Schizosaccharomyces pombe: one gene and its partners. The gene in region 1 interacts genetically with each later gene. Each region holds a gene or a part of one and is shown in the gene's direction. Other genes may lie near its edges.

What was found.
Region 2: of asp1 (region 1) and pkl1, extra expression of one impairs growth in a mutant of the other (dosage growth defect), as found in Schizosaccharomyces pombe (one study listed by BioGRID).
Region 3: of asp1 (region 1) and spn1, changing one suppresses a phenotype caused by changing the other (phenotypic suppression), as found in Schizosaccharomyces pombe (one study listed by BioGRID).

Annotation. Positions count from the first base shown.
Region 1 is NC_003421.2:572,560-576,318, reverse strand, and holds the start of asp1 (inositol hexakisphosphate kinase/inositol pyrophosphate synthase), read left to right. Parts: upstream 1-1,746; 5' UTR 1,747-1,846; coding exon 1,847-3,759. Other genes in the region: U3 snoRNP-associated protein Utp21, read right to left, coding at 1-647, 707-782.
Region 2 is NC_003424.3:3,437,224-3,440,982, forward strand, and holds the start of pkl1 (kinesin-14 family minus-end directed microtubule motor Pkl1), read left to right. Parts: upstream 1-1,666; 5' UTR 1,667-1,709; coding exon 1,710-1,721; intron 1,722-1,759; exon of another isoform or gene 1,760-1,763; coding exon 1,764-2,397; intron 2,398-2,450; coding exon 2,451-3,759. Other genes in the region: U5 snRNP-associated protein Aar2, read right to left, coding at 1-838.
Region 3 is NC_003424.3:4,851,333-4,855,091, forward strand, and holds the start of spn1 (mitotic septin Spn1), read left to right. Parts: upstream 1-1,707; 5' UTR 1,708-1,753; coding exon 1,754-1,933; exon of another isoform or gene 1,934-1,970; coding exon 1,971-2,567; intron 2,568-2,612; coding exon 2,613-3,245; 3' UTR 3,246-3,759. UniProt on the Schizosaccharomyces pombe protein: Plays a role in the cell cycle. Involved in a late stage of septum formation leading to the separation of the daughter cells.

The DNA of each region.
Region 1 (3,759 bases):
TTCCATGAGTATTGAACCATTTTTAAGATTAAAGATTACAATACGACCACTAATAGTACCAACAGCTAAAACATCGAGGACAGGGGCTTGTGTTAAACTAGTGATTCCATCACCAAAAAATTCCTGAAATTCATGTACACGTTTAGAAACACGCAAATTCCAAATCTGTAATGCTCCATCTGAGAATCCTAGCAGTATTTTGTTCAAATAAGTGCTTGGATGTAGTAAACTAGTGATATCTGCATTGGTATTAGGAAGAAATGTAGTATGAAGCTCAGGAACACTATATTTAGAAGCGTGTTTCCATACATAAACATGACGAGAAGATGTACAAGCAATAATCCACTCACCAAAAGCATCTAAATGAGTGACTGTTCCATGTTCTTGCTCCACATCAATGTCCCATATTATTTTACCACGTTTATATGCAAAAATTTTTGATCCGGCAGCTACAAGCATGAAATCTTTAAAGGATTTTAAACAAGTAATTTCCTTGTCTAATTGCTTGCCAACGAAAAGCAAATTCAACTTTTCGCAGTCATATGTTTGAAATGTGTTTCCCACCGACGTTGTTACCAAAAAATGGGTTCCACGAGCCTCAATGTCGAAAGGTACTGCATTGGAAACGTGACCGATGGATCTAAAGGCTAAAAATACAGTTAGCAATCTGTTCATTCCAAAAGAAAAAGAGAGAATTTTGACTTACGAGCATAGATCCTAGATTTTCTTAGAGGCTTCACCGCATTTTCATAAGTCCTCCGTTTCTTCTCTGCAAATGGCATTTTATCACAGGAAAGAACACAAATAGCACGTAAAATGGCAAAGGATGGCTCTTGTCCTGTAACTTGCAAAAAGCAGTGTTTGTGAAATTCTAGCAACCCTTTACGACCTACAGTAATAATCGTTAATTTACGACAGTGTATTTACTGAAATCGATAAATGTGTTTAACGATATGGTCAATCCGTCATATATCAATTTTCGGTAATTATAAATAAGAATCGTTCTGCTATTGTTCCGTTTATTTAAGTAAACAAATTATTTATTATTAAAAAAAAAAGAGAACTAAACATTGATGTCTAATGTTATTGTAAGATTTAATCGTAAAAACATGTTAGCAAAACTTCTACATTCTCTTCAGAATACCTAAAGAACTCTATTCACATATATCAAAAAGTGGTAAGGTAAATCTATGATTGTTGGAATTCTGGGCTTGTAAATAATGAAATAAATTTCAGTAAATTCTTAAAAAATATTTTTCTTTATGTAAAAGGTGCGAGAACAATATACTCTTGAACCCAGCTAGTAGAAGTAATTTTTTAATGTTTGTTGCTTGTAAAATTTAAACATTCCAGTCCACGTGTTTTCGCACGGACGAAAAGTAAAAACCTATTAAACAAAAATTTTTTCTAATTCTTTTTTAATTTAATATTGATGGATTTTACAAGCTTTTACTAAACTGGAAGAATACGTTTTTGAAAGAAGAATAACAGAAACTGGGCTTGGTTAAAAAAATTTTTATGAAAACCCAAATTAACTAACCCAGTATAATTAGTAAAAAAGTTATTCATAGAAGCATTACTGCGAAACAAATTCAATATTCACTGTCCACTTCATTTAAGCAACAATTTCTTATTTATTTACATTTCGTTAGGTAAACAAATGTTACCTCGCTGAATTGTAAGGTTAACCGTACAAGTAACATTGATCGACTAGGTGTGTACTAACACCGTGTACCTACATCTCTCATAACCAAACAAGTGAGGGAATTGGCCATTGAAAGAATACAAGTGGGAAAAAGGTGTTTTAAGCGTTATTAAATATTTTAACGTAGTTGAATAATAAAGGATGATTCAAAATGCAAGTCATCTTACATCTATCGACACAGAGTCATCTACCAGAACGGCGTCGCCTGTTTCCTCAATCGTTACACCTACTAAACGAAATGTAGTTGGAATCTGTGCCATGGATGCCAAAGCTCGCTCAAAACCATGTCGGAATATTCTGAACAGAATCATCGCAGAAGGTGAGTTTGAAGCCATAGTATTCGGTGACAACATGATTTTGGACGAAGCTGTGGAAAATTGGCCTGCTTGTGATTATTTGATATGTTTCTACTCTAGTGGATTTCCATTGAAGAAAGCTGAAAAGTATGTCGAGTTGCGTAAACCTTTTTGTGTAAACGATGTAGTATTCCAAGAGTTGCTTTGGGATAGACGGCTTGTGTTGAACATCCTTGATGCCATACGTGTTTCCACCCCTCAGCGTTTGATTTGCTCTCGTGATGGAGGTCCTAAAATTAATAAAGTCCTAGAAGAAAAGTTGCGTCGAAAGTTTGGAATAGAAATCACAGAGGTTCCTACCCCAGAAGTAAAAATGTTGGACGAAGATACTCTTTCTGTTGATGGCAAGATAATAAAGAAGCCGTACGTTGAAAAACCAGTCTATGGTGAAGATCACAATATTTATATTTATTTCCCTAAATCCGTTGGTGGGGGAGGTCGCAAATTATTTCGTAAAGTCGCAAATAAGTCTTCAGATTATGATCCAGATCTTTGTGCTCCACGCACTGAAGGATCTTTTATTTACGAGGAATTCATGAATGTCGATAACGCGGAAGACGTAAAGGTTTATACCGTGGGTCCTCATTACAGCCATGCAGAAACCCGCAAATCACCCGTAGTGGACGGAATTGTGAGAAGGAATCCACATGGTAAGGAAATTAGGTTTATCACCAATCTTTCAGAGGAAGAAAAAAATATGGCCTCTAAGATATCAATTGCGTTTGAGCAACCTGTTTGTGGATTTGATCTTCTTCGTGTCTCAGGTCAGTCGTATGTGATTGATGTGAATGGATGGTCCTTCGTCAAGGATAACAACGATTATTATGATAATGCTGCTCGAATTTTGAAACAAATGTTTCATGTTGCCGAACGTCATAGACGGAATCGTGTACCTTCAGTCCAAGAAGTTTTAAATCCTCCGCCTAGAGAAAGTGAGGCATGGAGACTTAAAAGTTTGGTCGGAGTCCTGCGTCACGCGGATCGTACACCTAAACAAAAGTTTAAGTTTTCATTTACATCTGATCCATTTGTAAAATTATTGCAAGGTCATACCGAGGAAGTTATTTTAAGAAACGAACAACTCAATTCTGTTTTGGCAGCTACCAACCTTGCTACAGAACTCAAATGCGAAGATATCAACAAGTTAAAACAGTTACGCTTAGCTTTGGAAACGAAGAAAGACTTACCGGGGACAAAAGTGCAACTTAAACCGGCTTATTCCCCAGAGGGAAAGCTTTTGAAACTGCAGCTAATTATCAAATGGGGTGGTGAATTTACTCATTCCGCGAGATACCAATCTAAGGATTTAGGAGAGCAGTTTCATAAGGACCTGTATATTATGAATCGTGATTGCCTGAAAGATGTCGAAATATACACATCTTCTGAAAGACGTGTCTCTGCTTCTGCTGAAATTTTTGCAATGGCCTTTTTGGAGCAAGAAACTATTCCTAGCGACTTACTCAAAGTTCGCAAAGATCTGTTAGATGATTCTAATGCTGCCAAGGATACTATGGATAAGGTTAAGAAACACTTGAAATCATTATTAAGAGTTGGAGATACGGCTAGAAAGGAGTTTACTTGGCCAGAAAACATGCCCAAGCCTTGTGAAGTAATGCAACAAGTTGTTCAACTCATGAAATATCATCGCGCAGTAATGAGAGAGAATTTTATTATTTTGGGACCTGAGGTTGAGCAAGT
Region 2 (3,759 bases), on another chromosome or scaffold:
CTTTCCTTTCACTTAGACTATCAAGGCAAGATAGTAAAACGCCTTTCTCAAAAATGGCAGACGTTTCTAAGTCGGATTCACTTAGTGAGCTAAGCTGAAGTTTGAAAAGCTCCAAAAAGGAAGCGTAAAACTCTGGTTCAGTTTCCGCCAATTCATAAGACTGCAATAGCAAACTCAACATATTCTTCCAATGCTCCAAAGCACCATAGTGGGAGAGAATAGAGTAGCTCAGAAAGGAAATTGATAATTCCGCTAATGCAGAGATGGGATTGTCATTCCACACGCTTTGGACGAGTCTTTGAAACAAAAACGATTTATCAATTGCTTGCTTAGACCGTTCAGGTCCAGTGGCAGACGGCGACCAGCTTCGTCGTAAATTGAATTCAGCGAAATTTAATAGTTTATCGTCTCGAGAGGGTTTTGAGAATTCCGGATCTTGTGACACAAGATCAGCGTTGACATACGTTGAAGTGTCTAAGTAGAAAAATTCACCTTCAGTAGCAAAAATTCTTTGAAGATCTTGAACTGTAATGAACTTCGTCAACAAGTCCCAATCCTTTGTTGATTCAAAGGGATAAAAGTTTTCGTCATATAATACATCAAGCTTCTGCAAAGAAGCTGTTTCAGATTTCGAATCAAAGTCGATACTATATTTCATATCTTCATGGACCATAGCAAAAACTCCAGAAATTAATCCAGCAGGGTATGTTGGAGACCAAGTGAAAAGATGAATTCCACCTTTTACATTTCGAATACCTGGAAGCTTACTAGCTTCATATGAACTCTGATCAATGCCAACGTAATATGTATTTAACCATCCGACAAACTCTATACTCATTATATACAAAACAAATTATTCCATATCTTCATTTATTTTGTCTATTAAGTTGAATTTAAGATCGTAGACATTGGTCAAAGCTAAGTTTCAGGCTACTGATTTAAGAGTTATAGCGATGGATATTATAAAAAACACCATAATACATTAAAGGTTTTTGGGTGTCAGCAATTCTACACTACGCTATAATATACATCGTTTCGTATCACTAAATATCGCCTGCTAGAATAGTAGTTAAGATCTATTTATTCATAGTTACGGATAAAATTCCATCTATCTAAATATATTCCAATTGATATAAATTAATCGAGACATTTTAAATAAAGCTACAACTGAACCTCGCTCCTTTAGTTTAGTCGTTAGCTAGATCGCTGACTGGACACTATTAGACTTCTTTAAAGTAATAAAAGTAACAATTGTTAGTTAAACGTACAACCTACCGCTACATGGCAAATCGTAATATAAGCTCACCGAAATTTTAGGTAGTGTTACACATTTCCGCGGACTTTGTAATTCACTTAAAGACACGTAAGGATACACTGAATTTGTTTGAGATATTCCAAAAATCAATCAGGGAATGTGGAATTACATAATATAAATAATATTACTTAAGTACTATTTGTTAATGGAATCAATTGTATTCTATACACCATTGATTAATAACATAGATGGATATACACGAGAGGCTTGAGACATATAATGATGCGTAGCATTGGAATTTGCTTAACAATTTAACACTCATATTTAACCCACGTAAAATAGTTTTACGTTTCTTAAAGCATCTGCTAATCAAAATCTGTTTTGTCGAGCTGATAAATTCGTGTTTATAGTATTGGGAAGAATTACTCTATAAAACGCTCTTTTTAACTTATAGATGGTAATTGAGGTAAGAGGTACTTCTGAGTAACTTATCTTATTAATGCGAAAGAATACAAAGGACATTTCCATAAACACAGGGTATAAACGACAGGAAGATGCTTTAAACACAGATTCTGAGGACTTAATATATCGACCAAAAAAAATTATTAAAACAAATCAAGAGGATGCAGTACATGATTTGAAATACGAAAATTTCGTATCAAAAAATCACGTTTTACAAAGCGACATTAATGGCAAGAAGAGGGACAGCAATCGAGACAAGGCCGCTGTAGTCACAGCGCCAATTGCTTCTACTCATGAATCTAATTACGAAGAATCTGTTTCCAAATTTAAAGAGAGTTGGCTGCCTCAATTAAAAGATCTCATTGAATCTCATAAAACAATATGCGAATCAACGTTAGCCTACGAGAGTGATCAAGCTATGGCTTCTTCTAATACATTAAAGAGAATAAAAGATTTAAAAAGCAAACCAAAAAATATTATACAGTTAGAAAGGTTGCATATGCTATCTAATGGCGAACATCGTTTATTATCGAAAGACGAAACCGATGATATTGAGTCTGCATACTTGAACCTTAGATCACATCTTCAGGTACAAGAACAGGTTTACGCTGAAAAGGATCATGAATATTCGTTACAACTTCAATCATACAGAGAGGCAGCAGAAAAGGCCAAGCAAGATAGTAAGAATACATGTCTTTATGCTGACTTTATTTGATTACTAACTATTTTAAAGTTTTAGAAACAAAAGAAAATCTTTCCTCTGAATTATCGATATCGAATATCCAGTTGAAGGAAGCCAAGGAAAGGTTAGAAGCTGCGAATGCAAGCTACCAAAAGCTACGTCGAGAACACAAAGAACTTGCACTTTATCATGAAAAGAAAACACATTCTCTAGTTTGTAATCTAAATGGTGAACGAAAATCCTTTGGGGATTTTGTTGAGAACGAAGTAAAGTCATATAAACATGAATATGCCAATATTTGTGAATCACTTCGGAGAGCTCTAGTGCTGATACAAGGTTCTTGTACTGAGAAAATTTTGCGTTTTAAAGAAAAAATTCTGGACTTATTAGAAATGAAACAACAAGAAGAAAATGATCGAATATCCCACATTGAATATGAGAATGATTTAACGGTTAAAAAGCTTAAAAGGAGAATATCTGAGTTGGAAATGGCAGTAAAAGAATATGAATCGGAAAAATCATACTCGGAAAAAGAATATGAAGAAAAAATCTCCTCTCTGCGTATAGAATTAGAAGACAAGTTAGCTGAAATTGACATGCTTCGAAATAAACTGTTAAAGGAAGAGCATAAACACCACTCTACATCTGAAAAACTTGAAGAACTTTCTAAATATGTTGCAAGTATTCAAGATAAAGAAAGAAATAATGGCCAGAACGCATTGGAACTACAAGCTCGAATCCAACAGCTGGAACGGAGAAATGAAGATATGTATAATAAACTGTTAGCAGAAGAAATAATCAGACGAAAGCTGCATAACGACATTCAAGAACTAAAGGGAAATATTCGAGTTTTTTGTAGGGTTAGACCACTACTCCCAAGTGAAGAATCCGAATATTGCATTGCTGATGTTTTACAATTTCCAGATAAAGACGCACTAGAGCCACAAAAACTTATTCTTAAAGGGCCTAATGTTGAATCATCACTCGGGCATACTTATGATCGTAATTATGAATTTTCCTTTGATCGAGTCTTTGCTCCTGAAAGCGATAACTCGTCCGTTTTTGAGGAAATATCACAGTTAATTCAAAGCGCTATTGATGGTTATAATGTTAGTATATTTGCATATGGACAAACAGGATCGGGTAAGACGTACACAATGTCGTCACAAGACGGTATGATAGCGATGTCAATTAAGCATATATTTAATTATCTATCAACCTTGAGGGAGAAAGGGTGGGTGTATAAATTGAGAGGTCAGTTTTTGGAAATTTACAATGAAACGATTTATGATCTATTAAACAAAGCGGAAATGTTGAAAAATCCTAAGCACGATATTCATCATGATGAAAAGGAAAGACG
Region 3 (3,759 bases), on another chromosome or scaffold:
TAAATAAAAATGGAAGGGCACAATTTAATAAGAGTAATAAAAATAGAGAGTTAAAAATTAAAATCAACCCGAATCTGGATGTTGTTTTGTGGGTCTAAACAGAATCGAGTTCTTAAATAATTATGCGAATTCCTTAAAAAAGCAACGGCTAACAGCTGTAGTCGCGAAAGTAACACCTTATATATATAAATGTATTTCAACTAGTGAATACCCCGTTAATAAATACTTAAGATAATTTAAGCATTAATACAAACAAAGGATTATGTCGTACGTTCACGAATCAAGCTTGTACAGGTTTTGCCCCTATCGAGTAAAAACAAAGCCAAAGAAAGAAGTATTAAAAACGCTTTTTCGAGTAAAAGAAACTGTTTTTAAAATAAAAAATTTCCTCCAATAAACCCAGAATTTGAGTGTTTTCTTATATATTGGTTCGATTCCGCCGCCAGAGAACGCCTTTGTCCAGTATAATGTGTGGCTCTGGTTACGTCGAAAAGGAGGTGAATACCAGTTACCTTGATCCCATCTGTATTCATAACAACTAGAATTAATAGCGTAGTCACGCAAGATTTCGTTATTAAATTCAATTATAGATATTTCGATTTCTTAATATAAGACACGTACTTCTATATTGTGTTGATTAACGTCTTTTCACATTAATTTTTGACATATTATATTCATAGTTTTAACGACGACATACTGGGATTGCTTGCGTACCTTTACTGGAGTTATTCTTTCTCTGATACCAGCCACACAACACCGCGTTAAGTCATTCCGTGCTTTGATAGCAAGAAGAGCTGAAATAGCTAGAAGGAAAACAAAACAATGATTGACTATTAAATGCCTTTATTCAATTGAGTTTTAGAGCTTATACTGCAATTCGGAGACTGTAAACGCTGTTATAAAGACTAATATAATCGTTATTTAATTAGTAAAAATGATCCTATTATGTTAAATTTTTTTTTAACATTTTATTATTTATAATAAGTTCAAATTTATCTTAAAAGTCCTTTAAGATCAAAAATATACGGTAAACAAGCTTCTAATGTTTTAGTTTGATCTTACTTTTTCGTAGGAAAAGAAATATAGATATTTGTTTCTGAATCATCTATTAGCATGAAAATGTTGGCCAGGCAATAATTTCTAACTGTGTTTTATGTCTAATAATTAAATCTTTAAAATCGTTGAGGGTCACATTGTCGACGTACAAGTTCAATTGAATAAATAATCAGTTGTGCAATAAATTGGATTTGCATTAATGCTCAATTCAACGACTACTGCCCAAGGTTCTATATTAATAGAAAAATAAATATTTTAAATTAAATTCAAAAGATTTAGATGATTGCATGCTGAAAGGGTATTCAAACAAATAATTTAGGTATAAATAAAAGGTCAAAAAATGTTTTTAAACAAATACAGATAATGGATAATTTTAATTCATTAGATTTATCCAATTGTTAAAAAAAATAATTGTAAAATTAACAAGACAACTAAAACAATGGAATAACAATGTTTAGTATCTTTTTATTTAATGCATCCCAGCCGTGTATATTTCGAGGTTAAGGACCTAAATTCGACGCGACAGTGAATTAAGAAATTTCAAAAAAGCTCTATAATTTCGTGAAACATAATTAAGAAAAAAATTGGTTAAGTTTAATTTCCTACTTGAGCAAATAGATGTTCATGCTCGAGCTCCTAGCTACACTCTTCATCACATACATAACCACCAACACGGGGGTTTTCGATAATTTCTGACATGGCGTCAATGGTACTCGCGGATGGTATGCCTACAGTTAAAGATGATTCCACTAGAAGCAGGGGTTCCGACGTTGATTCTTTCACATCTACAGATAATGTAACGCAAATAAATGTTGAGGCAGCCATTTCAGAAAACAAGAATGAAGAAAAACCCATTCAGGATAATTCTGAACAAGAGGTAATCAATTATTTAAAATTCCTTTACTAATATTTAGTTCAATCCGCACGTTAGTATAATCCAGCGTCAGTTGAACGGATACGTTGGATTCGCTAGTCTTCCTAATCAATGGCATCGTCGTTGTGTTCGTCAAGGTTTTAATTTCAACGTATTAGTATTAGGGGAAAGCGGTTCAGGGAAATCTACACTTGTGAATACGCTATTGAATAGAGATGTTTACCCACCGACCCAGAAATCTTTAACTGGGGATTTTGGAGTGAACCCAGAACCCACTGTTATGATCAACTCTTCTGCAGTTGAAATAGTGGAAAATGGTATCAGTCTTCAATTAAATGTAATTGATACACCCGGTTTTGGCGATTTTATTGACAACACCGATTGTTGGCAACCAGTTTTGACAGATATCGAGGGTCGCTATGATCAATATCTTGAGCTTGAAAAGCACAATCCTCGATCTACTATTCAAGATCCAAGAGTTCATGCTTGTATATTTTTTATTCAGCCTACTGGTCATGCTATAAGTGCTATGGAGCTTCGAGTTATGTTGGCTTTGCACGAGAAAGTAAATATTATACCCATCATTGCGAAAGCCGATACACTAACGGATGATGAACTTAACTTTACGAAGGAAATGGTAAGCCCTAATCTTGATTTAAAGTTGCTAATGAAAAAATGATAGATTTTGAGAGATATCCAATACCACAATATCAGAATTTTCTTCCCTCCGACATATGAGACCGATGATCCTGAATCAGTGGCAGAAAATGCAGACATCATGAGTAGAATACCTTTTGCTATAATTGCTTCTAATACATTCGTGGTCAACAATGAAGGAAAGCGCGTCCGCGGGAGGCGGTACCCATGGGGCGTTGTTGAAGTCGATAATGAAGAGCATTCTGATTTCCCTAAGCTTCGTGAAATGCTTATTCGAACACACTTAGAAGAACTCAAAGAACAGACAAATAAGCTGTATGAAGCGTATCGTACTGAACGGTTGCTTAGCAGCGGAATATCACAAGATCACTCCGTTTTTCGTGAAGTCAACCCTAGTGCTAAACTCGAAGAGGAGCGTGCCTTACACGAAGAGAAATTGATGAAAATGGAAGCAGAAATGAAAACCATTTTTTCTCAGAAGGTTCAAGAAAAAGAAGATCGTCTTAAACAATCTGAAAACGAGTTACGTACCCGTCATCGCGAAATGAAGGCAGCATTGGAGAAGCAAAAAGCTGACTTAATTGATCACAAAAATCGGTTAATGCAAGCTAAAGCTGCGGCCGAAAATGAGAAGAGTAAAAGGAAGTTTTTTAAATAGTCTCCTTACTAGCTGATATTTATTTGTATGACACCGCAGTTCTACTGCTATCTCCTTCTTTGTTATTTAATTACTACTTAAAGTCCAATATTGGGCTGTATATCTTTCCTTGATTATTCTACCATATGGAGTCGTTAATTTTTATCGAAATTTTCTTTTTTAGGAGGTTCACTAATTGACATTTTGCTTGAACAAACAAATTGAAACAGCCGGCTTATCTCTATTCAACCCGTTAAAGTGGGAGTTTGCTTCTTTTATTGCCAGTGTATTTTTCAATCTATCGAAAAATATCTATTTTCCAGTCAGTGGGGGTATTTAGACAGCTAGATTTCAGTTGAAAGAGTCGAAAAAATTTTGATGCATATATTATTAGAAGAGATTTGCTTGCGACGTCGTTTTTAGACTTTAGTTTTTGCATAATTTTTGTTCGGTTAAACGAAAAACACTGTTGCAATTGATACCTTCTCGGTGTTATAGAATAGTAAATATGAGATTTGTTGTAAGTCATTCAATA